Tribolium castaneum: one gene and its partners. The protein of the gene in region 1 purifies or fractionates together with the protein of each later gene. This does not show direct contact. Links are inferred from orthologs where the notes say so. Each region holds a gene or a part of one and is shown in the gene's direction. Other genes may lie near its edges.

Region 1 (3,570 bases):
GTTTCCGCGAACGACAATTTTAAATCGCGACACATCGCCATTTTTGCGTAAAAATAATCTTCCGCGCTTTCACTGGTTCTTTGTTTTCTCTCCGACATCTCTCTAAACCTTTCGGCGAGCGTTCTTCGATCCGTATAATTTTCGCGGAATCGCATCTCAAACGCTGCCCACGTTGTTAAGGTATCCTGGTGATATCGATACCACAACAACGCGCTATCTACGAGGTGTTGACGCGCCACCTCCAACAAAATTGCATCACCCCAAAATTGACGTCCCGCCATGGTTTTGATGTCCTGTAACCACTGTAATGCGTCTGATGCACCTCCTTTTCCATTGAATACGCGTAAACTTTGCGTTAAATCGGGCATTACGCAATACCCCATGTTTCTCGACGCCCCAGGCGCCTCCACCCGGCCCAACGGAAGACTGTTCTGCAGGCCACTTGTCTCCGACACCACCCCGTTTCCAGACGACCCCAGCGTCCCCGACGCCTCCTTATCTCTGGACAACTCCTGTATGTCTGGCGACCCTGCTACCTCCTGGTCAACCGCCGCCGCCGCCGCCGCCGCCACTGTCCCTGTCTGAGCCTGTAACGCTTCGCTCACCGCTGCCTTCACTAATTGTAAAATTGTCTCTAAGTTCAAAAATTCCTGTCCTGATTGAGGGATGATTTCCTTCGGGCTTTCTTTATTCTTATCGTCCGTCATTTTCCTTTATTTCTTTGACCACTAACAAACTAACACTAATAAAACCAAACTAAGTCTCCACGAATAATTTTTTTTTTCACGATCCCACTTCTGATAAATTGTTATAGTTTATAATTTATTACGTCAGGATTATAGGGTAAATAAACTACGATCTTCTCAACAGGACCTTTTAATTTTACTTTACTCTACAAAAGCCAGTTACAGACTAACTTATTTTCTAAAAATCCAGACATTCGGCATTCATCTTTAACACATGTTTCCCATCTTTCACACTCGCCCTAAAAGCCCTCACACACACTAACCATTCGGACCTCCCAAGCATCCCTTACAATTCTACGAATTCATATCATTTGATTTGATAAAAATTGGGTGCGAATGGTTATAATTCGTGACGAAAAAAGATGAAAACGGTGAATTCAACAGATATTATCCAATTTTTTAAACTTTTTGTTTAATGGCAAATTTTGGGGCTAAATCTGATTGAATTTAGATGGAAATTAATTTATAAAATGTCTTACTGCCCTTGTTTCCCTCATAAATCGGTTAAGCAACGTTTTATGAAAAAAACACGTGGGTTTAACAAAAATTAGTTTTTCCAACAAATTCGTGGATGATTTCCATCTATTTTCGATTGAGAATGCATAATAATGATTATTTTCGCCCTAACAGTATAAAAAACAAAGATATTCTTTTAGAAAAATAGTCAAAAGGGTGCAAAAGATGATTCATTCTTATATTTTTTTGTCGTCTCATTCTCAATTTTAGTCATTTATTGGGGTTCCTATCTAGCAACGTTCTTTTGGCGATAAATTAGTAAATCATTGCGTAATTTTCCATAACAGTTATCCTGGAAAATTCTGGAACACAGCGAATTTCTCTTCCCGGTAGAAATTCTGGAAAGGTTCTCGAAATTGTTTACATCCGCTGAGATTGGCAAACCTGCCACTTGACGTTTGACAGTTTTGAAAGTTTGAATTCACTTTTTACCGTTACTTTTTTTGCCGCTAAATTATCTGTGTGTGTTAAGACAGCCCCGCAATGGCCGCAGTGGCTCCAAAAAACAAATCAGCGATCACTCTGAAAGGCTCCGCCGAAATCGTTTGCGATTACTTGAGTAATTTTGCCCCCAATTGTATAAAATGAGGTTATGGCTGTCTTGCAGATTTCGGAATCAACTCGATTTTGTTCCAACGGGGGCTGTACCCACCCGAGAACTTTCAAAGTGTGGAAAACTACGGTCTGACGATTCTCATGTCTACCGACAACAAGATCAAGGAGTTTCTCTCGACGACTTTATCGCAATTAAAAGGTTTGGGTTACCGGCGAGTTTTTTTTGACTAGTTTTGTATTATTTTTAGAGTGGTTACTACAAAGGTGCGTTACGAGGGTTGCAATGATCATAACGAACGTGAAAACGCGGGAGGTTATGGAACGTTGGGATTTTTATGTTGAGTATGAGGGGAATGCGGATGAACCTGGGGGGGCCGTGTCGGAAAAACCGTTAAAAACTATTAAAAACGAGATTAGGGACGTGTTGAAACAAATCGCGTCGTCGGTCGCCTATTTGCCTTTATTGGACTGTTTATGTAGCTTTGATATTCAAATTTATACCAAAAGTGATGTTGATTTGCCGGGAGAGTGGACTGAGGCCCAAGCAGCCCATGTAAAAAATGCACAGTCGGTTAAAATGCGGTCCTTTTCAACCAATTTACATAAGATGGATACTGTCGTTACCTATAAGAATGAGGACTAGGTTTAAGTGTAAAGTGGAAGCGATTTTTGCGTTCAGTGTGTTTAATAAATTTACATTTTTTTACACAGAAGATTTTTATTCCAACACCAATGATCGAAAAAAAGGATTATGATTTTACATTTGTGTTTTTTTATTGACTTGAAGGTAACAACCTTCATTGAAGTATTCTAGGACTTGGGGCAAACTCACTCAAAGATAACGTTTTCTGCGTTTATTTAAATATATTTATAATTAATAAAGTTTATAAAAGAAGTAACATTTCTTTTATTTTTCAAGCATATAAAACTTAACTACAGTCACGACAAATGGTTCGAGATTTCGACCTAAACTTCTAAGTTTTCACTCAACTAATAGCGCCATTTATCGTTATCACAATATGCGAGTATCTTTAACAACACTGAGATTTACATAACATTGTTGCTAACATGATAAAAAAATTATTACACATCGACTACTACATTGTGCGTTTTTCTCCAAATCAAATAAATTAAACGAGTATCTACATCCTCTGTAATGCAATTTTCTTTGGTATAGGGTTATCCAGCCTTGTCGCTCTTTTCCGCTCCCTCACAATACTGGAACAAATCAAACAATTATTACTGAGTGATTAGCAACTGGAGTTTCGAAACCACACACCCTCTAAACTACACAGTGTTAGTGCGAAAACGTGCAAAGTCAACACTACCTTACCGAATCGGTCGCTTTTTTGCCTGAAACATAAAAGGGAACGTGTACAAGAGTCGGTTTTTCCCCGGTAGTTGAGAGGTTTGTGTTAAGGTTTACGTCTACGTATTGCTATTTGAGAGGGACATGCGAGTTAGAGACATCTGAAACTCACAACAAATCTAACAGTCGATTAAATTTCGAGAGTTATTAGTAAACAGTTATTAAAGAATTGGTTAATACAGAGAGCAGGCAAAATTGATTACATACCTAATTTTATAATTTTTTATCCAATAGAGAGTCCTTTTGTCCCCCAATGTACCAGATAGGGTCAAACCAATAGTAAAAAAACTACGTCCTTCCTTTCATCGTTTATTAATAAGTTTACAACAATTTTTTTATTTTTTTAGAATTTGTAATAAAGATTCTTAAGATTTTGTTGTGAGT
Region 2 (4,408 bases), on another chromosome or scaffold:
TTTTTTGAATATAGTAGTTGTAAAAATCACTTGTAATTCGGATCTGTTAATAGTATTTCAGAAAAAGTAAGATGTAATTCATATTTTACTTTTTTCAGTTGTAAGTAGGTTTTTAAGAAAAGTTCAAGTGAAATTCAGTGTACCAATTTTAAAACGAAGCTTTTACGTAAGCTAAACTAAGAAATGCACTGATAATTAAGAACATAGCTTTGATGTTTTGTATTTTAAATTTTAAACCCAAAATATTTAAAATTTTATTTCTGAATTACAATTAACGTTTCCTTAAATACAGTTTACTATATCCCATTTCAGTTCATAGTAGAATTGCAACAGTGCATTTGAATTTTTTGGTGTGAAAAATAAAGCACAAATTGAGAGATTCTGTATAAGAAAAGAATTCTGTGTTAAAATAAATCCCAGTGACACGTTTTGATCTAAGAAAACCCACCAGAAACTCTAAATTTTGCTCCATTTGACTCCAAAAAAAATGTAAATGCGTTGTTGTAAAATTGTACTGTGAACGAAAATGGGATATAATCTGAATTATAACTGCCTTTTTCAGAAATATACTTGACTCTTTCTGAAACATAGTTGAAAAAGGTGTATAGAAAGCTGAATAAAATTTTAATTCTTTGTTAATAGTTAGTGCACTAGAAAACGTAAGCTGTATTTTGGATGTCCGAATAGGCGATCTCCAAAACTAAGAGGTTTAGAGAAAAACGAGTGAAACATTCCGTTTTTTGAGAGAATAATTTTGGTCAAAACCGCATCCCGCTATCGTCTTTTGTTGTCGACTTATAAAAAGAAGTGGACATTTTAGCGAAATCTTAAAAAATCATATCTTCCTTATTATAAAAGATACACATTTGAAACAAAAACATTATACAGGCATTTTTTTTCAGAGAATTTAATAATGTTATCAGCGATTTTTTTAATCATTCGTTCAGCTGTAATAACATAGTTGTATTTTTTTAAATGAGAATCATAGTTGGCTATGACATTTTCGAAAAGCTAATTTTTTTCTGAACTCAAAACAATATAAATATAGTTTGATATTTTTATATATTTTTGATAAAAATATATTTAAAATATTTGAAAGTAGTCGGCCATGGAAAAATTATTTCACATAAAAGGTATGAATAATCTAGAAATTTTGTGAACGTTTATTAAAGTAAAAAATGTGATTATAAAAATAAGCTGTGTTAAAGTTATTTTCATTTAAACAAATATACGAGCGTCGCGGATTTTAATTACATAAGAAATGTGCAGAAAATTTCAAACAATGTATCACTACCATTTGATGCCACTTTTTTATGATTTAGTAAAGTGCAAAGGAGGTGACGTTAATAATGTTGTGTATTTTTTTTACCGCAGATGGAATTTGATTTTGGTGTTTGGATTGATATTTTTTTGTAAAATAAAATTTTATTGATAAGCAATCATACAATTAATAAGATTTTTCTTCTTCCGACATTTCATGTTTACAATAGGAAAATAGAATGACAACGTAAGCTTGCCATTTTAAATATAAAAACAAATAATTTTTATTAATTGCAAAAATTTGATCTAATAAAAATTTATTGTGCTGTTTTTGAATTAATTAGTGTTTAAAAAAATCATTAAATTATAAATACTTGTTGGGTAATACAATTTTCATAGTTTTAATTAAAAATCCAAAATTTTTTCATGGCCTACTATAAAGAAAAAGCGAAATGTTTTGTTTTTTCTTAAATATTTAAAATTAATGTATTACACAAATAGACATATCAGATCAGAAAAAAATTAGCTTTTCGAAAATATCATAAAAACTTTATGTTATTACAGTTAAACGAATAGTTGAAAAAAATTGCTGATAACATTATTAGATTCTCTGAAAAAAAATGTCTTTGTTTTAAATGTGTATCTTTTATATTAAGGAAGATATGATTTTTTTTTATAAACATAAGTGTTTAAAAGTCGAAAACAAAAAAAGATAGCGAAATTATTTTCTCAAAAAACTGACTCGAAAATATGTCACTGGTTTTTCTCTATACCTCTTAGGAGATCCCGTATTCGAACATCCAACATGCAGCACCCTGTACAACATACAGCGGGTAATTTTTAACTGGAATAAAATTCATAACTTTGATTTAGGCGATTTTGGTGAAATTCCCGAACAGATCAATTTTTATTTTTTCTTGCCCACTATTTGATGCATATGGTTTTTGTTATCTGTTGTCAGAAATGCACAGCCGCCTCTAACCTTTTTTTTCAAATGTAACGGTATGTCAACTGACACCTCGTATGAAAGCTCTTCTCGCAAGCATTACAACGCACTATTTGTTTTTTGAATTTTTTCAAAGCCTACGTGATAAAAAAAATAAGAACCAATTTTTATAAGTTGAACATTATTTGATTTGATTGTTCAAAATGGGCACCGTTCCTCTCTTGGGAAATAACATGACGATAGTAGCATGAATTTCTAACATTTCTAGTGTGATTTTCCTAATTTTAATTTATAAAAATTGATTTTCATTTTTTATCGCGCAGGCCTTGAAAATATTCAGAAAACAAAGAGTGGGTTGTATTCCTTGCAAAGTGCTCTTTCACATGAGGTGACACTTGACATAACCGTTACATTTGAAAAAAAAAGTGTTAGAGGTGGCTGGGCATTTTTGAAAACAGATAAACAAAAACCGCACCAAATGATGTGCAAAGAAAATCAAAAATCGACCTGTGTCAGGATTTTTTTACAAAAATCGCTTGTATCCAAGTTACAAATTTTATTTTAGTCAATATTTCCACACTACTTTAATTTTTTATCACTTGGGCATTGACAATATTTAGAAAGCAAATAATGCGTTGTACTGCTTTCGAAGTGCTCTTTTACATGAGGTGTCACACGACATACCGTTACATTTGAGAAAAAAAGTTGGAGGTGGCTGTGAGGTTTTGACAGCAGATAAATAAAAACCATATCGACTAAATGATGGGCAAGAAAAAACAAAAAGCACCTGTTTCTGAAATTTTTACAAAAATTGCCTATATCCTAGTTATGAATTTTATTTCAGTTAAAAATTCCACACTGTATAAACTGTGGTAAATTAACGACAATTTTTATATATGTTTTTTACAAAACAACAATAATTACATACTGTTTATTTCAGAATGTCATTAGAAATAATAATAAAAAAATTACCTAAATAATATTTGTATTGAAGTATTATTTAATTGTACACTCTTATTTCTGAGATTATTTATGTAACCAACTAATAGGTTATATCTTATATCAAATTCACCGTTAATTAAAATTGTGCACTTTTTAGTAGGAAATTTAATTCGCTTCAACGTTTTTGATGAACTTTCTTTGTTTTTTTGTTTTCTTAATCCTCTTCTCAGCATTTTGAAAAATATGGGACAAGTCAAAATTTTTTTAATTTTTAATAAGTATTATTATTTATTAATTATTACGCTCAATGTTACTGCGTTTTTTCCAGGCAGTTTAACGTTCGATGTGCCCTAATTTTTACTCTACCGCACTAATTTTTTAGATACAGAAGATCATTTATTTAGTATTTAGTCTTCGTAACCTTCTATTATTTATAAACACAATCATTTTTTCACAATGTTGTAACAGTTATCGTTACTTAATTTTAGCATAGCTTCAATAATGTTTTTTTTACAGATATGCTGAGGCCGAGGCAGCTTTGTTACACTCCAATAAGAGCAGCAATGACTCCGAGAATTTCGACGACATCACATCAGAATACGGTGATCAAGCACCATTCGCTTTATCTTTATTAGGTAACATAGCTGCCAAAACCGAAAGAAAACCTCGTGCCATAGATGCATGGAAACGAGCCTTAAAACTAAATCCATTTCAATGGTCAAGCTTCGAAAATTTATGCAAAATAGGAGATAAACCAAACCCCCAAAATATATTCCAAATAACAGGTGTTGAAAATTTATCAATGTGCCAGGGAAGTAATATTAACAATATCGAAAGTGTTGTTATAACAAACAACAATCCAAATCAAGATAATCAAGAGACATACGCCACAACTCCTCAACAGATTCTTGTGAATTTTAGCCCCAATGTCGTAACTTCGAATTCGAAATTGTGTACACCTGATGATAATCCAATTGTTACACAAAATGTGTGGCTGTCGGGCTTCGCCCCCTTCACGTCGAGGACCAAGTTGCTGAGATTTCGGACGGATTCCTCCAGTAATGTAAGTTATTTTTGATGGATTTTTGCACAAAATTTTTTATCAAATTCTAAATTTGTGAGTGTTTTCTTCTCACTGAGTAAATCGCATGATTTGGAATATTTGTTTTTATTTACAAAATGAAAAAACTCGAGAAATTTTGCCAAGCGAAGATATGGAAAATTAGATATGGAATGAACTCGTATTTTTTCTGCCTAGGT
Region 3 (5,208 bases), on another chromosome or scaffold:
GTTTTATTTTCTTGTTTAGAATTTTTGGGTTACGAGCAAGATTTTGGTAACACTGAGGACTGCCCCGTAACACCTTGCAGTAACCCCAAGCGACAGAAACACTCAAGTGCCGGGACGGACGAGGATTGGTTGTATTTAAGCAATTCGGACTATGCAACGAAACTAGACAAGTGTCTCAAACATACGTTGCTCCTCAAATGCAACTCAAATCCCCCCAAAAGCCACACTAGGACGCTTCAAATTAATGTTAATTCGCTCCTTTTCCCGTTTATTCGCTTGATTTTGTATTGTTTACACTTGTTGTATGAAGATTTGAAGTTGAATGTGTTGCGATCGGATGACTTGAAACTGTTGGCGATTTTTTTAAATAAGATAGCCAGCGATTTAGGGATGGTTGAGTATGTGGTGCACTACTGGAAAGATTTTCCCGATTGTTTCTCGTTAAATTCGAACGGATATATCGCACCAAATGAGTTAAAACAAGTACATGAGTATCCGTTTATTGGCGAAACGCCGGCCAATATTATGCAGTTTTTGTGCCATTTGATGCAAAAAGGGGAAGTGGCGCCCTATCCGTTTGTAAATCATGTCAACAATAAGTCAAAGGACATCGTGCAGGTAAGTCTCGTCTGTTGCGTTTTTTTTATTTATATTTAGTTTTTAAAGAAGTGAAAGTGAGAGATAAACGAATAGTTTTTCAAGTAAAATATTCGAGTTGTTTTTAATAGATTTGCGGCATCATCTTTAAAGAACTTGGCCACAAGCCGGCCAATTTGCTTAAGCTCATAGAGCCCAACATCACATCTAACGGTAGCCCAGTTCTTCAAGAAGAACCATCTGAGCTTTCGCCACCGGAACAAACACTTCTTTTAATGACATCGAAAAAAATGACGGTTCGAGATTTGGACACTTTACCTCCAGCGATTTACCTCCTAATATACAGCACATTGTGGAAATGCCGAGATAACCCTCCCTCGGACTTACCTTCAGACGCTTATTACTTACTATGGCGCGATGACCTCGCTGTTCAAGCGCACAAATTCCACAAAGAAAAACCCGAAACGACTTTAGAGAAAATAGGAATGTACACAACCCACGAACTGCCAGGCATTGTCCTTACGTCCAAACCGGTCGAAAGTGAGCAACAAGACGGAATGGACGACATTGAAAACCCCTTAACCAAGCTGCGTTTTCCGGACGATATGCGAGTGGCCGAAGCCCGGAAAATGCTGCAAAGCTCCAAACCCGTCCCGATTGTCCTTGTGCAACGACCGGACGTGTCCGATCATGATTTTATCGAAGAGGAAGAAAAACACTTGTTTGCGATCTGTACCAGAACCATGGCCCTGTCAACAGGCCGAGGGATGTTCACTTTGAGAACCTCGGCACCGGTTGTGACCGAACCGCTGCAAACACCGCCACTGTGCCTGACCGGGAAGGCGCCCCCGCGGGGCACGACAGTTGAGCTAAACCACATCGATACGCCCTCGAATATGAATTTGTGGCCGTTGTTTCACAACGGTGTGGCGAACGGTTTGAGGATAAATCCCGATGCGCACAATGTGGACAATACGTGGATTGTGTTCAACAAACCGAAGGGTTCGATGGAACAGCAGATGGAACATGCCGGGTTTTTAATGGCCTTGGGCCTGAATGGCCATTTGAAAAATTTAGATGCGTTGAACACGTATGACTATTTGATTAAGTTGCACGAAATGACGAGTATTGGGATTTTGCTTGGGATGTCTGCGGCTTTTAGGGGCACTTCGGATTTGGGAATGACCAAGACTTTGAGTATACATGTGGAAGCTATGCTGCCCCCGACATCGATGGAGCTTGATGTGCACCAAAATGTGCAAGTTGCTGCATTGCTAGGTCGGTAAAAAGCATTTAAAATTATTATTACTTTGTGTTATTTCAAGGCATTGGGTTAGTCTACCAAGGCACTTCGCACCGCCACATTATCGAAGTCCTGTTATCCGAAATCGGGCGTCCGCCAGGCCCTGAGATGGAAAACAGCGTCGACCGGGAATCATACTCACTTGCAGCCGGATTATCGCTAGGCCTAGTAACTTTGAAGCAAGGCAGTTGCTCTCTGGGCTTGTCAGACTTGAATATTTCCGACCGCTTGCACTATTACATGGTCGGTGGTAACCGACGTCCCTTAACCGGTACATGACCACATGAAATCAAACATTTTAACTGGTAATAATTTACAGGCGCACAGAAAGACAAATACAAAGTACCGTCGTTTCAAATCCGGGAAGGTTCTTCCATTAATTTAGACGTGACAGCACCGGGGGCCACGATAGCTCTAGGCCTTATGTATCTAGGAACTGGCAATAAGGCCGTAGCTGACTGGATGGCGCCGCCTGAAACACAATATTTGCTTGATTTTGTGCGTCCTGACTTTTTAATGTTTCGGATATTGGCGCGAGGTTGTCCCTCAAAATCACGTTGAAAATTTTTGATTTTTTGTTCCACAGCTTTGATTCTTTGGGATGATATTGTGCCGAGCAAGGAATGGGTCGAGGGTCAAGTGCCGGGTACCATCAGGCCCTACTGTATGCTAAAACCATCACCGAATTTGGATATTGATTTTGAAGCTATGAAGTTAGTGATTTGTACGATTTTAAGGAAATAACCGTGTGATTTTAGCCAAGCTTATTGTAACATTGTGACAGGAGCTTGCTTCGCCTTGGGTCTCAAGTACGCGGGTTCTGCGGACGAAAACGCCTTCCAGACTTTGCTCCACTTCTGCCGCATGTTTACCAACCTGACGATCAAATCCATAGCTGAATTAGCCGGGAAACCGACCGTTGAAACCTGTCTCAATGTCCTGCTATTATCGAGCGCGATGGTACTGTGACGATTAATTGTGGTTTTTATTTGAAAAAAAAATTGTTAAAGGTGATGGCGGGGACTGGTAATCTTGAAATCATGCGTTTTGTGCGACTTTTACGCCGCCGAGTTGGTGTAGCTAGCAGTTCTGTGGTCACGTACGGTTCACACCTGGCAATGCATATGGCCTTAGGTTTGTTGTTTTTGGGGGGTGGGAGATACACGTTATCTAACTCTCCGGGGAACATTGCGGCCTTAATATGTGCTTTTTACCCGAAATTTCCAACTCATAGTAACGATAACAGGTAACGAAACGGTTGTGTAAAAGTAGGAAAAATATGTAATATTGCTCCAGGTATCACCTTCAAGCCTTCCGACATTTGTACGTACTGGCGGTTGAGCCGCGTCTAATAATACCAAAAGATGTTCATTCTGGTAAATGTTGCTACGCCTCTTTGAGTGTCGTTAAATTGGACGGTACGAAAAGTTTCGTAAAAGCACCCGGGATTATCCCCGACCTCAGTATGTTGAAAGAAGTGGCGATTGAGGACGAGCGCTATTGGCCTGTGGTTTTCAAGAGGAGCCAAAATTGGAATTCTCTCATGTAAATTAATTTCTTCGTGAAAAATCAGTCATGTTTGGTTTTTAGAACCATACTCTCGACTAATGGGTTCGTTGAAGTCAAGCAAAGGGCGGGCTGTTTGAGCTACATTGCCGATAAATTGGGTTATCACAGCCAGTTGGCCAAAACGTTAACTCAGTCTGAGACTGTACCGTGGAATCCTTCATCGTCGTCCATCCTTTCGTTCACACACGACCAAGCTATTAAGTATTTCTGTGATCATTTTCTCTCAACTGATAAACTAAGTCCGCAAGAATTGAAATTAACACGAATGCTGACTAAAGCGACGTACGACGCTGTCGTGAAAGACAAACTTGTTGTCATACCGGTTATTAGTTTTCTGTTAAAGGTAATGTCAAGACTCATGTATTTATTAAATAATGATTTTATGTTCAGGTCGTTCGTGATATGAGATTGTTACCAAACGCCTTGAACTTTTGGCAAGTCAAGTTGCTGTTTGCACAAATAATATCAACTCCCTTAGCTTGTAATTTAATTCAACCGGAAGTAATGTTGGCCATAAAGCAACAAATGTTAGAAGTTTTAGAAGATTGGGAACCTGGCTTGGCCCCCGCCTTAGAAGCGTATACAAGGGGCGCCGACTTGGCTTTTGATAAAGAAACCTTGAATAGGCTAGCCATGTATGTGATATTTTACGATATACCATTTAGGGAAAGTGCAGAAGGTGATCCATTAGAAGTGATGCTTAAACTTCAAGACAAATATTCCGTTAGTACCTTAGAGAAAATTATGAGGCTAAGGATGTGAAAGAAGCTGTATTTTTTATAAATAAATGTGAAATAAAACTAATTTCAAGGTTTAACATAATTTTTATTTCGAAAACTGGGAACATATCGTAATACAGACTATAAAAATACAAAACGTGTCACTAACACAATAAGGAATGAACTAAACGCATCGGTTGAAACTTAGAAGGAAAAGGGTGATTGTTGTTGATCGGCCATATTAGGAGTAGCGAACTGAATCTCCCCATTTGCTACAGTAACAGTGACTCCCTCCTCACCCTGAAACCTCAAATTACAAAACAATTTACCCACAAAATAACTCACATCGGCGAAATAATTCTCGATAATGTGCAAAGCCCGTTCGTAGACTTTCTCATTGTCGTGACTTTGCAAGGCCTCAATACCGTCCAAACCGCCACACTCCTCAATCATTATGGCCACTTTCTCGGCTTGATTTAACTTGGCAGCGGCCTAAAATCGACAATTAGACAAAATTCCAACACAAATTTTTTTTCACCGATAAAATGTTATTCAATCCCTCCAACACCACGATAATAGTCTTGCTATCTTTGGAATTCAGGAGATTACACATGGGTTTCAACGCCCCCATTTCCACAAGTTGCGCCAATTGGGCGGAATTCCCGCCACTTGTGAAATTAGTAACAGCCCAAGCTGCCTCTTTTTGCGATTTAAAGTCGCCCTAAAAGTCACGTTTTAGGAAAAATCGGACAAAGCGTGGCAACAATACGGTTTGTAGGACGTGAAGAAGATAAGGCAAAATCCCGGCATCTAGGACTTTTTGGATTTGCTCACTATTTCCGGCAGTAATGTTTGAAACTGTCCAGGCAGCTTCTTTGACAATGTTCAGTCTACTGTGTTGCAATAAACGGATCATACAATCTAAAGCCCCGGCATTGATCACCATATCAGTCTACCAAACGAAATTATTAATACTTTTAACAATTGATTGAGTGGCCTTATACCTGATGGTCGTTTCCG
Region 4 (4,937 bases), on another chromosome or scaffold:
TCAGACTTTCAACAACCAATTCAATTACGTACTTCACACATACGCATATTTTTCTGTCTTGGGTCAGCTCGCTGTTGTTGTCTCGGATCAGATGGGAAGTTGGCCGGACCTCCACGTGGGTCCCTATTAAAGCTAAGAAAAAGTATCAGTAAATTGTATTTCTAATCAATTGTAAATGGTTATTTACCTTTCCAATTTCTGATCCTGCTTAGTGAAACTGTTTAAATTTGAGTAAAAGGGCTCAAGGTTGAATTATTTTACTTACTTTTCGACAAGTGGCGGCGGAAGGGGGTTGGGGAGTTGTCCGGGCAAAGTGCGCATGTCCTGGTCGCCCAGGCGGCTGAGGCGAGGATCAGCCCCTCGGGGGTCCAGTGATCTTAGATCAACGTCTTGACCTGCAATAACGCAAACATTATTATTATTTATAATCAATTGTGATAAAAAAAATCACCTGTGAAGACCGGATTGGAATTATTATGAATCGCGGGGGCTGGCACCGGCTGAAAGTCCTGTCTTGGGGGCTGCACAGGCGTGGGATTCGAGACATAATTACTGTTAATCGGAATGGGGCCTGGATTAGTCTTTTCCTTGGGCGTCAAAGACGAAGGAACGGGATTTTGCGGATGCAACATTGTCTAAAACCCCCCAATAAAATATAAATACGCCCCCAAACCCCCAACTCACAGCCGCCGTATGCGGGTCAATAATCCTCATAACCACCTGCGCCTGCAGCAGAGCGTACGCCAACTGGGGGTTCTGCAGCAGCATCTGCCTGGCCTCAGTGGGGTTGTTCTGAATGCAGAGCTTCATCTGCTTCATCAACTCGAACATCTGCTCGGGGGGCAACGAGGCCACGGCTTTGCTGATGGCCTCGGGGGCCTTCTCGGCCTGAATCGGCTCGCCGTAGGGGTTCTCGACCGGGGGCTGGTTCAGCAAGTTTTGCATCTCCATGCGCGATTTCTCGGTACAGGCGTTGTCGACCCGGAGGTTGCGCCCCCCGATCTCGTACCCGTTGAGGTTGCGCATGGCGCTGAGCGCCGTCTCCTGGTCGCGGTACTCGCAGAAGCCGTAGCCTTTGGGCTTGCCTGTCTCGCGGTCGAAAACCAACCTAAAATTCAGGCGTTAGGGGGCTTCAGGGGGCAGGGCAACGTACTTGAATGACAGGACCTGGCCTACTTCGCCGAAAATGTCTTTGAGCTTCTCTTCGGTGGCTTCGTAGGGGATGTTGCCCACTGGAAGCAATGGGGTTATAATTATCACTTAAAATTTAAATAATTTGTACCAAAGACCGAACGCATTGACTTGTCCATGATATTTGCTTCTAAATTATCCATGGTGATTGTTTAATTCCAACTTGGAACGAAGTAATCAAGACACCTGGGACACCAATTTCAACAAACGGTCAGCGTTACCAACCCTCTACCTTTTAAAAAAGTACAAAATTATGCATTTTAAAGCCAACAATAACAAAAATGTTGGTTTATCTATTGTGGTTACAACCCTAAAGTGAATCGTAACGCCTGACTAGGCCTGTTTGTGCACATTTGGCTAAATAAAGCAAATCGGGTCCAGACGCACAGTTGGTACCCATGACAGAATTAAACGTAACCTTACAATTTGAAAATTGTTTTTTGTTACTAATTGTTGGAAAATGAGCACAGTTCAGGCGATTAAACAGCTCGAAGAGCGCAATGTGGCCAGTGAGATTGTTCAAATGGTGTGGAGCGACCGTATGGACCTTGTCGCTCTTGCCAATATCAAAGGTAACCCCCATTTGCAGTAACCGGCATTTTTGGGTGTCTTTGTAGGAGAGGTGGCTCTTCATCGACTCACTTGGACCAAAGCGTGGAGTCTCAGTGCCCCCAAGGATGGGTTAAAGGTCACAAGTATTGCCTGGAGGCCTGACGGCAAAATCATAGCAATTGCGTACAGTTCTGGTAAAATATTGTAAAAAAAGTATTGGAAATAATTTAAATCCATTGTTTTGTGCAATTTCAGGCCAAATACTGCTTGTGAAGGTCGAGAATAAGTCGGTGTTGCACACTATTGACATCAAGGGCGAAGTTTCATGTCTCAATTGGTTGCAAGACCGGACTGTTAAAGGGAAACTGCCTTCAGTTGACGAAGACAGTAAACAGAATCAGTACATGAAACACATTGTAAAAAAACCCGAATGTTAGTGCTCGTTTAATTTCCCAGTTGTAGGACTTATCGGGTAATTTTTTGCCCGAACCGGTGCTACAACAGTTCGATTCCCCCAACAACGACGATGGTCAGAAAACCAACATTTTGCAAGAGCAAACCGACTTTAATTTGCTCCTGATTGGGACAAGTGAGGGCACCGTGCACGTGCGAGTTTTCGGTTGTTTCCCGTGCGCTTCCCTTGACTTGAAGCAAACTCTCAACTGTCTTTGCTCCATCCAGAACATGCATTTGAACGAGGACCTGAACCGCATGTTTTTCACAGTGCGAGACAACGAAAACAACGTTAAATTGATTTGTTTCGATTCGGAAATTTTCAAAACGCACACAAACGAACTGTTCGCTTTGGCCCTCAAACACATAAAATTGACCTCACTGGTGACCTATCTCTCCAACACTATTACCACCATCACCGAGTCCTGGGAGAGCATTTTGCTGGAGATGGACAACAAGTTGTCGAAATATGCGAGCAAGGTGCCAGAAGGGGGCGTCACGGCTGATTTTTTGGATTTGCTGACGTTTGGAATTTGCTCGGATGAGATGAAGACCTTTCTCATACACGATTTAACGAAGAAAGGGTTGGAGAAGTTCGGGCAGACGATTGAGATGAGTTATTCCAACATTCAGAAGTTGATGCTGAAGTATGTGATGAAGTTTGGGCAGAATGTTACCTATCACTTGGCCGAAATGAGGGGGATGGCAAGACTGGAACACCGCTATAAGGTTGGTACAAGTGTGTGGTGGCTGCCAACTCAACAAAAAAATTAAAATTTAATTTTGTGTGAACTTGGCAAGAAAAACCATCAAAAATGCACAAAAATGGAAAAATCACATTTAGTTCGATAATTTCAAAGTCTGAGAAATAGTTAAAAAACAGGCGTATTTTAGACGAAATTTTACGCAACAAGCTACATTGAGTGAAACAAACAAATATCAATCAGGTTTGCTTTGAAACGAATATAGTGTCTGATTTTTTAAACGAACAAAATACTATCTGGCAAAATAAATAAATATTTAGTTTAAAATCGAGCAAATACTACGTGAAAAAAGTCCAAAATATTCGGGGAAACCCCTGACGGCTTTAAAACGCCTTTTTCGGCTTTTCGCTCCCACGTTTAGGACGCGTTTCAATTGAAAAGAAGTTATTAGTGTAAAAAATGGTGATTGGGTGATTGTAGGTTTTGGGTTTGGACGCGGCCGCCATTACCGGCGCCATTTCCTCGAACGGCGCCTTCTTGATCAAAGGCAGCGAAATGCAGCAAATCATCAATCACTCCATCATCAATTACAAGGCCTTCTTCCGCTGGCTCTACACGGCAATAATGCACGTTCTGGATGAGCCAATACCGAACGAAATCCCCAAAATGACTCAGCAAGACCTGGCTTACATCACCGAATTTTTGCAAAACTTTGACCACATCAGTCGGAATAACAAACAAAAGGGGTTCATTATGGAGCGGTTGGGGCAATATTTAAGCGATGGCAATTTGACGATCCAACCAGACATGTCCGGGAACGAATGGACTGATTTTTTGGCCCAGAACCAATGCATCGAAAAAAATAGTTCCATTTTGAGGCACTTCAAAGAGATGTCGCTGATACAACAGTACAAGCATTTGAAGCAAAGCGTCGATGCGATTTTCGCGACACCTAGAGAGCAAATTAGTAGGCAGTTCAGTCATTTGAATGACTTCAATTGTTTCCAATTTTGCGGCGATTCGTTACGGACGTCCCAAGTCAACTTAAACAAAGAATCGATTCTTTTTTGTTACTTGCAGCCGCCTGAGACCGTTCTAGGCCTGCAGGTGTATCTAGACGATGGCAATTGTTTCATAAAGTGTGCGCGTCTGTACTTCCCCCGTGACAATTCCGAGGATAATTATCACGTGATCGATATTAAACTATATTCGAGTGCAGTATTGTCGGTTTTATTGCAAGAAAACACCGTTTCTAAAGCTACAGTTTTAAGTCAGATACCGATAGGTGGCGTTTTGGACAAGTTTGTGGATGGGGGGGAGACAGATCGTGTTTTTAGTGGTGCGGTTAACGTGGTTAGTTTGAACGGTTCGTGTTTGGTTCCGAAGCTGTTTAAGTGTGTGGAGGGGATGGTGGGGGCGGAGTTTGCAGTGTCGGGGAGTCGACGTGTCGGTATCGTATTGGCGGAAAATCGGAGGAAGGTGCGCTTGTATGAAATGGAGGGGGAGGAAGAGGAGGAGGAAGATGCGGAGATGAACAATAGTGGGGTACAAGAATGACTTTATTTACATTCTAAGGACTAAAGTTTCGTATTCGGGACAAGCGATTTCTTCGCCGCCGTATGCTATGTAGCAGACACCATGGCTGGGGTGTATCTGGAAAATAAATGATCAAGGGTTAAAATTTATAAGGGTGAGTTAAGTACTTTGCCAATTGTTTGGGAGCCTTCGTGGTAGGCGCGGCCTATGTAAAGGGGCTCCCCTTCGCTGGTGTGCCCCCCTTGGACCGCCCCTGGTGGCAAGTGGCCGGCGTGCGATTGTACCCACTCGAAGTATTGTTTACATAAAACCTGAAAATTTTAAAAAATAAATAAATTCGTTTTCCTTATTAATTAACCTTGCAAGGTGGAAGAAAAATTGTTTTCTTTTAGTTTTTGTACAGATACAAAAAATTAAATAACGAGATTATAAAACAAAATATAAAAGGGCTTTATTTTCCCATATTCAACAAAAAAAATTCATAGCTCAAAAACTAAATGT
Region 5 (4,773 bases), on another chromosome or scaffold:
CTTGTGGGGCAATTTGCGGGCTTTCGTGCGGCTCGTTTGGATCGACTGAATTCCAGCCGGTTTTCTCCTCCTGCTCGACTTCGTCCATTTCGGGCTCGTCTTTCAGATCACGCTCGAAATCGATCAAATCTTCGGTTTCCTCGCGGTTGCCGGACTTGCCGTACGTTGGGATGTCGCCCAAAGTGCGGCAAAACTCCGCCGTGGCGTTCAGAACAATACTCCCCTCCAGGTTTTCCTCACTTTCGCTTTTAACCGGCGTTGATTTAACAATCTCAGCAACGAGGTTCTCCTTCTGTTTGATTTTGCGTGTCTTGTGCAGCGCTTTTTCCAAGAGATCGTCCTTCTCGTCCTCGAGTTTGACGTCCGTGGGGTATTCCATTTCGGGGATGTCGTCAATGGTCAAGTCTTCGAGCTCTTTCTTTGGGCGTCTTGAGCCGACTTCCTCGATGCCTTTGTTGTTAATTTGTTGCTCCAATTCATCAGCGGTCAGTTTTCCCTTAGTTCGGATTTTGCGGACTTTCTTTTTGGGTTTTTTAAATTTGGACAGTTCCTCGTCGTTGTAATATTCCGATGCGAGTTTTAAATCTTTTGTTTCAATCGATTCGATTCTTTTTTTGGCGAGTTTTTCCTTAATTGATTGCACGATTGCTTGTTTACGTTCAACCGCATTGTCGTAACCGATTTTGAAGCTTTCGCGTTTTTCGCCGTCGATTGTTTCGTCGTATTGGGCCAAAAGCGACTTTTCTTTGGGGTTGCCAAACTCGTCGTACTCCTGGTCTTCGTAGGCGTTATACAAAATCTTCTTCTTCTTGTTTATAACGTTCTGAAATTTGATGATAAATAATCATTCACTGTAAATATTTGTAACAAATTACCTTTTTGTATCTCTCGTCCTCAACCATGTTGACATTGACCAGGACATCCTCCTTGTCTTCATCCAAGACGCCCTTGTCTTGCAGCGTCAAGATAACATCCCTTTCCTCAGCAAAGCTATCAACATCATGCTCCACCCTCAGCCCTTTCAAATTCCTCTCAGTGTATCTCTGCTTCCTCTTCTCCTTCTTCTCATTCTCCACAAACTCGCTGACCCCAAACTGCTCATCCAACTCCTCCAACATTTTCGCCCTTTTCTCAGCCTCCTTCTTGGCCAATTCAATCTTGCGGTTCTTATCAACCCACGACTCCACATTATCATCACTATCACTGTCCCCCAGCAGCTTCACCTTGCCCAGCTTATTCTCCAGCTGGCGCTTTTCCCGAATCGTTGTCAATTTGCCCTTCAGCTTCTCCCTCTCGTGCTTATCCGCCCAATTCTCCGCCGGCTTGTGGTAAAACTCGCCCCAATCGTCCTTCTTCTTCCCGTCATCCCGTTTCTTCTCGGACTTGTCCCCCGAACTCACATCGAGCGGCTTCAGGCCGAGCTTCGCCCGCAGTTTGTTCGTTTCCTCAATCGAGAGACTCTCAGCGTTTTGCCCGGAGCCCGAAGGCTCATCGTCCGGAATCACCTCGATCACGTCGGATCCTGGCAAAAAATCATTCAAACGGGAAAGTTGGACGCGGGGTGCTTACCGTCGCTGTCGTAGTCGTGCTTCGCCCTCGCGTCGCGCTTCTTGTCCCTGTGGTGCCTCTTGTGGCGGTGGCGCTTCTCCTTCGGGGGCTCATGCTCGTCGGTGTAGCCGGGGCTGTGGTGGCGCCGCTTACGAGACTCTTTCTCTTTTTCTTTGTATTTTTTGCTACTAGAACCCATCCTTTTTACAAAATTTGAAGGAAATACCTACCGTACACAACGTCAATGCAACGTTTTGACGTGCGCGAAATCCGGATTGGTGGTTTCGCCGTTACGGGATTTGCCGAGTTCAAAAACCTAACCCCACATTTGCCAAGCCAAGATGACCAACTTATTGAAGCAATTGCAGGCGATGTACGAGCTTGCCCTGCACTCGAACATCTCCCGAGTGGTTTGTAGCCCCCTTTTGGGAGTCTGAGCCCCCAACTGTGCTTTTAGTGCGACTTGGCCCTGTCGGCGTCCGAGCAAAAGCCCGACTTTTTGCCCCCTTTGCAGAAGTTCCAGGTGATGTTGCTGTACGCCGATTCGCTGTACGAGACGCAACAGTTCGCCCAAAGCGAGAGTTTGTACCGCCAGGCCTTACAGCTCCGCAAACACCTCTTAAAAACCAAGTCAATGTCTAATAAAATCACGGAGAGTCAGCCCGAACTGGCCAGCGATGTGGAGATCAGGTTCAAGATACACAAGTGCTGCATGGCCCTGAAGCAGGTGAATGGGGCCATCGAGATGCTGCAGTCGATTCAGGCCCGCCTGCGGACCCCCAAAGTCAACATGGCGCTCGGCAACTTGTACAGGGAGGCCGGGATGGAGCGCTCGGCCATAACGTGCTACAAGGAGGTGCTCCGGGAGTGCCCGCTGGCCCTCGAAGCCGTGGAGAACTTGCTCAAGCTGGGGGTGAAAGGGGTCGAAGTCAACGCACTAATGGTGGAGGCAACTTCCGAACTAAACTGGCTAAACCTCTGGCTCAAAGCACAAGCCCAGTTGTACTCGCGCGACTTCGAAAACGCCGCCCAAACGTACAAAAGCATGGACAGCCACGGTCTACTCAAAGACAACACGTCGCTGCTGGTCAACCTGGGCTACTGCTACCACTACATGTGTGAGGACGAGACGGCGATTGCAGTCCTCCAGCGGGCGATTAAACTCGACCAGAACCTAGTCTTTGGTCGCGATTTACTGGCCACGCTTTTGGCGAGCTCGGGGACTTCCGAACACGTTGAGTATTTGGAGGATTTGATCCCGACCTCGGATATGTCGCTGTGGACGAGTGAGCATTGGGTGGTCATTGGCAATCTGATGTTTTCGACGAGACGGCACGAAAAAGCCGTTTATTTCGCACAGCAGGCGCTTTGTGCCTCGCCCAAAAACATAGAGGCGTTGCTGCTGAAAGCCAAGACGCTGGTGGAGCTCAGCAAGTACCAGGATGCCGCCCAGCATTGCACGGAAGCGATCCAGATCTGTCCGTTTCGATACGACTTGCACCAGTGTTTGGTCGAGTGCTATGTGAAGATGAATCGGCTGAGGGAGGCCGACTCCATGGCGCAAAATGCGTGCAAACAGCTCAATTTCAGCCCACATTCGGTTACGGTAAGTGAAAAAATTGTAATACGGTAAAGAGAGAATTGGCTGTTAGACTGTTTTTTTGGGACGAATTATTTTAAAAACGTATCACTTTTTTTTCGTTTGCCTTCATCTGGCAAACTAATGCGCTATCTGAGAGGAATATCGGGATGGGACGTTGTCTTTGCTTTAGGTGTCGAAACGGATTAGGCGCCATTAAGTTGTTTTCTTATTTATTCCTCAAATAACAACAATTACAAAAAATAGTTTCACTGCAGTTGCACGCCTCCGTTTTACTCAAAGACCCGATGACGTCCGGGAAAACGGTGCGAAACCTCCTCGAGAAGGCCGTGAGCCAAGACAAGACGTTTTCCACTAAGGCCGTCTGTATGCTCGTGGAGTTGCTCGAGCAGGAGCAGCAGTACGACCAAGCTCGGCAGCTCCTGCTGAAGCACGTGGAACAGCACCCCACCTCGCGCATCCACCAGATGCTGGGCGACTGCTACGTCAATTTGAACAAGGACAGCGAGGCTTTCCACCACTACAACGTGGCCCTGCGGCTCGACCCGTCCAACCAGAGGGCGACCGAGGGCCTGAGTTGCATCGGACGCAACGTGTCTTTAAGCAAAAGGGAGAGCTACTACACCTGCGTGGGGGAGACGTCGTACACGTCGCCAGGGACGAGCGCCTCCGAGGACGATGTTTTTGTCCAGAACGATACCGAACCCTGGCCTACCAATATGAGTTTCTAGGTGATAACAATTTTTTTTACAATAAAAATATTTAAAGTCACGCGACTTTGTTTTCAACAATCACAGGGTTACATTTCCCTAATTATTTACGTGTTAAAATACAAAGTGTTAGTACTATCACGGGGAAAAGGTTTCATTTCTTTTAGAATCTAGGATACATTTTTGACCCAAACAAACGTCCCTAAGCTAAACACAAGCGGCCGCGGCCAAGCCAAACAATAAGCGCTTGTTCGTTTATAAATTTGTTACAATTAAGACAATTATTGCTAAAATAATCTCAATTTCCCAAAATTCTCTTCGCCTCTCGTTCTATTTTGTTACTTTTTGCATTTTATTAAATACGTAGGTTTCAACCTACGGCACAAACTCGCTCAAAATCACTCAGTTGAGTGGAAATCTCACAAAGGAGCACCGGAAATACTCGAAATCCTCGAGGTTTTTCTTCAACGTGGTGGCACTAAACCTGGAAGTTCTAAAACACAATCAATTTTTTTTATCTCGGGGAAAATATTCACCGTTGCTCGTTGTCAGTAAGCGAAACAAATGCGAATTGGGGGCCCCCAAATCCCCAGTTGACTGCTCAAACTCGTCCCCACCTTCAATCGCAACAAAATGACAAAACTGCTCCCCTCCGCGTTTGTTATATTCTTCGAGGGCGCTGTTCAAAATATCGCTCTCAGACACCTGCGGAAACATTAACATTTTTTTATTACTTGCTATATTATTAAAAAAAAAAAATGAGAGCGCGGACCGCGGACTAAACATAGTGATTCCTGCGGCATAAAACCAACCTTAAAGTCCTGCAAGTCATTCTGTTGTCCCTCCGCCTGCTCCGGCGGCGTGTACTTCTGCTCCTCCTTGCCCCCATTCTGCTGAGCCAACTGCTCGCTGTGC

Evidence for each region.
Region 2: the proteins of mad2 (region 1) and Cdc27 purify together in Homo sapiens (affinity purification with western blotting; 29 studies listed by BioGRID and IntAct, with this or other methods). This does not show direct contact. The link is inferred for Tribolium castaneum from reciprocal best matches to the Homo sapiens genes MAD2L1 and CDC27.
Region 3: the proteins of mad2 (region 1) and shtd purify together in Homo sapiens (affinity purification with mass spectrometry; 3 studies listed by BioGRID and IntAct, with this or other methods). This does not show direct contact. The link is inferred for Tribolium castaneum from reciprocal best matches to the Homo sapiens genes MAD2L1 and ANAPC1.
Region 4: the proteins of mad2 (region 1) and APC4 purify together in Homo sapiens (affinity purification with western blotting; 14 studies listed by BioGRID and IntAct, with this or other methods). This does not show direct contact. The link is inferred for Tribolium castaneum from reciprocal best matches to the Homo sapiens genes MAD2L1 and ANAPC4.
Region 5: the proteins of mad2 (region 1) and APC7 purify together in Homo sapiens (affinity purification with mass spectrometry; 3 studies listed by BioGRID and IntAct, with this or other methods). This does not show direct contact. The link is inferred for Tribolium castaneum from reciprocal best matches to the Homo sapiens genes MAD2L1 and ANAPC7.

The regions. Positions count from the first base shown.
Region 1 is NC_087398.1:3,482,929-3,486,498, forward strand, and holds mad2 (mitotic spindle assembly checkpoint protein MAD2A), read left to right. Parts: upstream 1-1,639; 5' UTR 1,640-1,745; coding exon 1,746-1,821; intron 1,822-1,869; coding exon 1,870-2,016; intron 2,017-2,065; coding exon 2,066-2,460; 3' UTR 2,461-2,530; downstream 2,531-3,570. UniProt on the Homo sapiens protein: Component of the spindle-assembly checkpoint that prevents the onset of anaphase until all chromosomes are properly aligned at the metaphase plate.
Region 2 is NC_087394.1:14,530,739-14,535,146, reverse strand, and holds part of Cdc27 (cell division cycle protein 27 homolog), read left to right. Parts: intron 1-3,664; coding exon 3,665-4,211; intron 4,212-4,408. UniProt on the Homo sapiens protein: Component of the anaphase promoting complex/cyclosome (APC/C), a cell cycle-regulated E3 ubiquitin ligase that controls progression through mitosis and the G1 phase of the cell cycle.
Region 3 is NC_087397.1:4,709,487-4,714,694, reverse strand, and holds the end of shtd (anaphase-promoting complex subunit 1), read left to right. Parts: intron 1-19; coding exon 20-618; intron 619-728; coding exon 729-1,875; intron 1,876-1,922; coding exon 1,923-2,171; intron 2,172-2,219; coding exon 2,220-2,438; intron 2,439-2,486; coding exon 2,487-2,613; intron 2,614-2,658; coding exon 2,659-2,860; intron 2,861-2,910; coding exon 2,911-3,146; intron 3,147-3,196; coding exon 3,197-3,445; intron 3,446-3,490; coding exon 3,491-3,812; intron 3,813-3,859; coding exon 3,860-4,231; 3' UTR 4,232-4,286; downstream 4,287-5,208. Other genes in the region: Pen (importin subunit alpha-5), read right to left, coding at 4,393-4,488, 4,534-4,680, 4,727-4,909, 4,958-5,140, 5,193-5,208. UniProt on the Homo sapiens protein: Component of the anaphase promoting complex/cyclosome (APC/C), a cell cycle-regulated E3 ubiquitin ligase that controls progression through mitosis and the G1 phase of the cell cycle.
Region 4 is NC_087400.1:321,725-326,661, forward strand, and holds APC4 (anaphase-promoting complex subunit 4), read left to right. Parts: upstream 1-1,545; 5' UTR 1,546-1,651; coding exon 1,652-1,763; intron 1,764-1,808; coding exon 1,809-1,937; intron 1,938-1,998; coding exon 1,999-2,159; intron 2,160-2,205; coding exon 2,206-2,925; intron 2,926-3,380; coding exon 3,381-4,457; 3' UTR 4,458-4,463; coding exon of another isoform or gene 4,464-4,553; 3' UTR 4,554-4,603; coding exon of another isoform or gene 4,604-4,747; 3' UTR 4,748-4,814; downstream 4,815-4,937. Other genes in the region: CstF64 (cleavage stimulation factor subunit 2 tau variant), read right to left, coding at 44-132, 188-217, 266-395, 452-635, 685-1,108, 1,154-1,232, 1,283-1,334; uncharacterized protein LOC659212, read right to left, coding at 4,464-4,553, 4,604-4,747. UniProt on the Homo sapiens protein: Component of the anaphase promoting complex/cyclosome (APC/C), a cell cycle-regulated E3 ubiquitin ligase that controls progression through mitosis and the G1 phase of the cell cycle.
Region 5 is NC_087395.1:24,227,939-24,232,711, reverse strand, and holds APC7 (anaphase-promoting complex subunit 7), read left to right. Parts: upstream 1-1,818; 5' UTR 1,819-1,889; coding exon 1,890-1,958; intron 1,959-2,005; coding exon 2,006-3,154; intron 3,155-3,343; exon of another isoform or gene 3,344-3,405; coding exon 3,406-3,879; 3' UTR 3,880-3,919; downstream 3,920-4,773. Other genes in the region: U4/U6.U5 tri-snRNP-associated protein 1, read right to left, coding at 1-823, 876-1,522, 1,570-1,747; PR domain zinc finger protein 10, read right to left, coding at 4,323-4,351, 4,395-4,563, 4,671-4,773. UniProt on the Homo sapiens protein: Component of the anaphase promoting complex/cyclosome (APC/C), a cell cycle-regulated E3 ubiquitin ligase that controls progression through mitosis and the G1 phase of the cell cycle.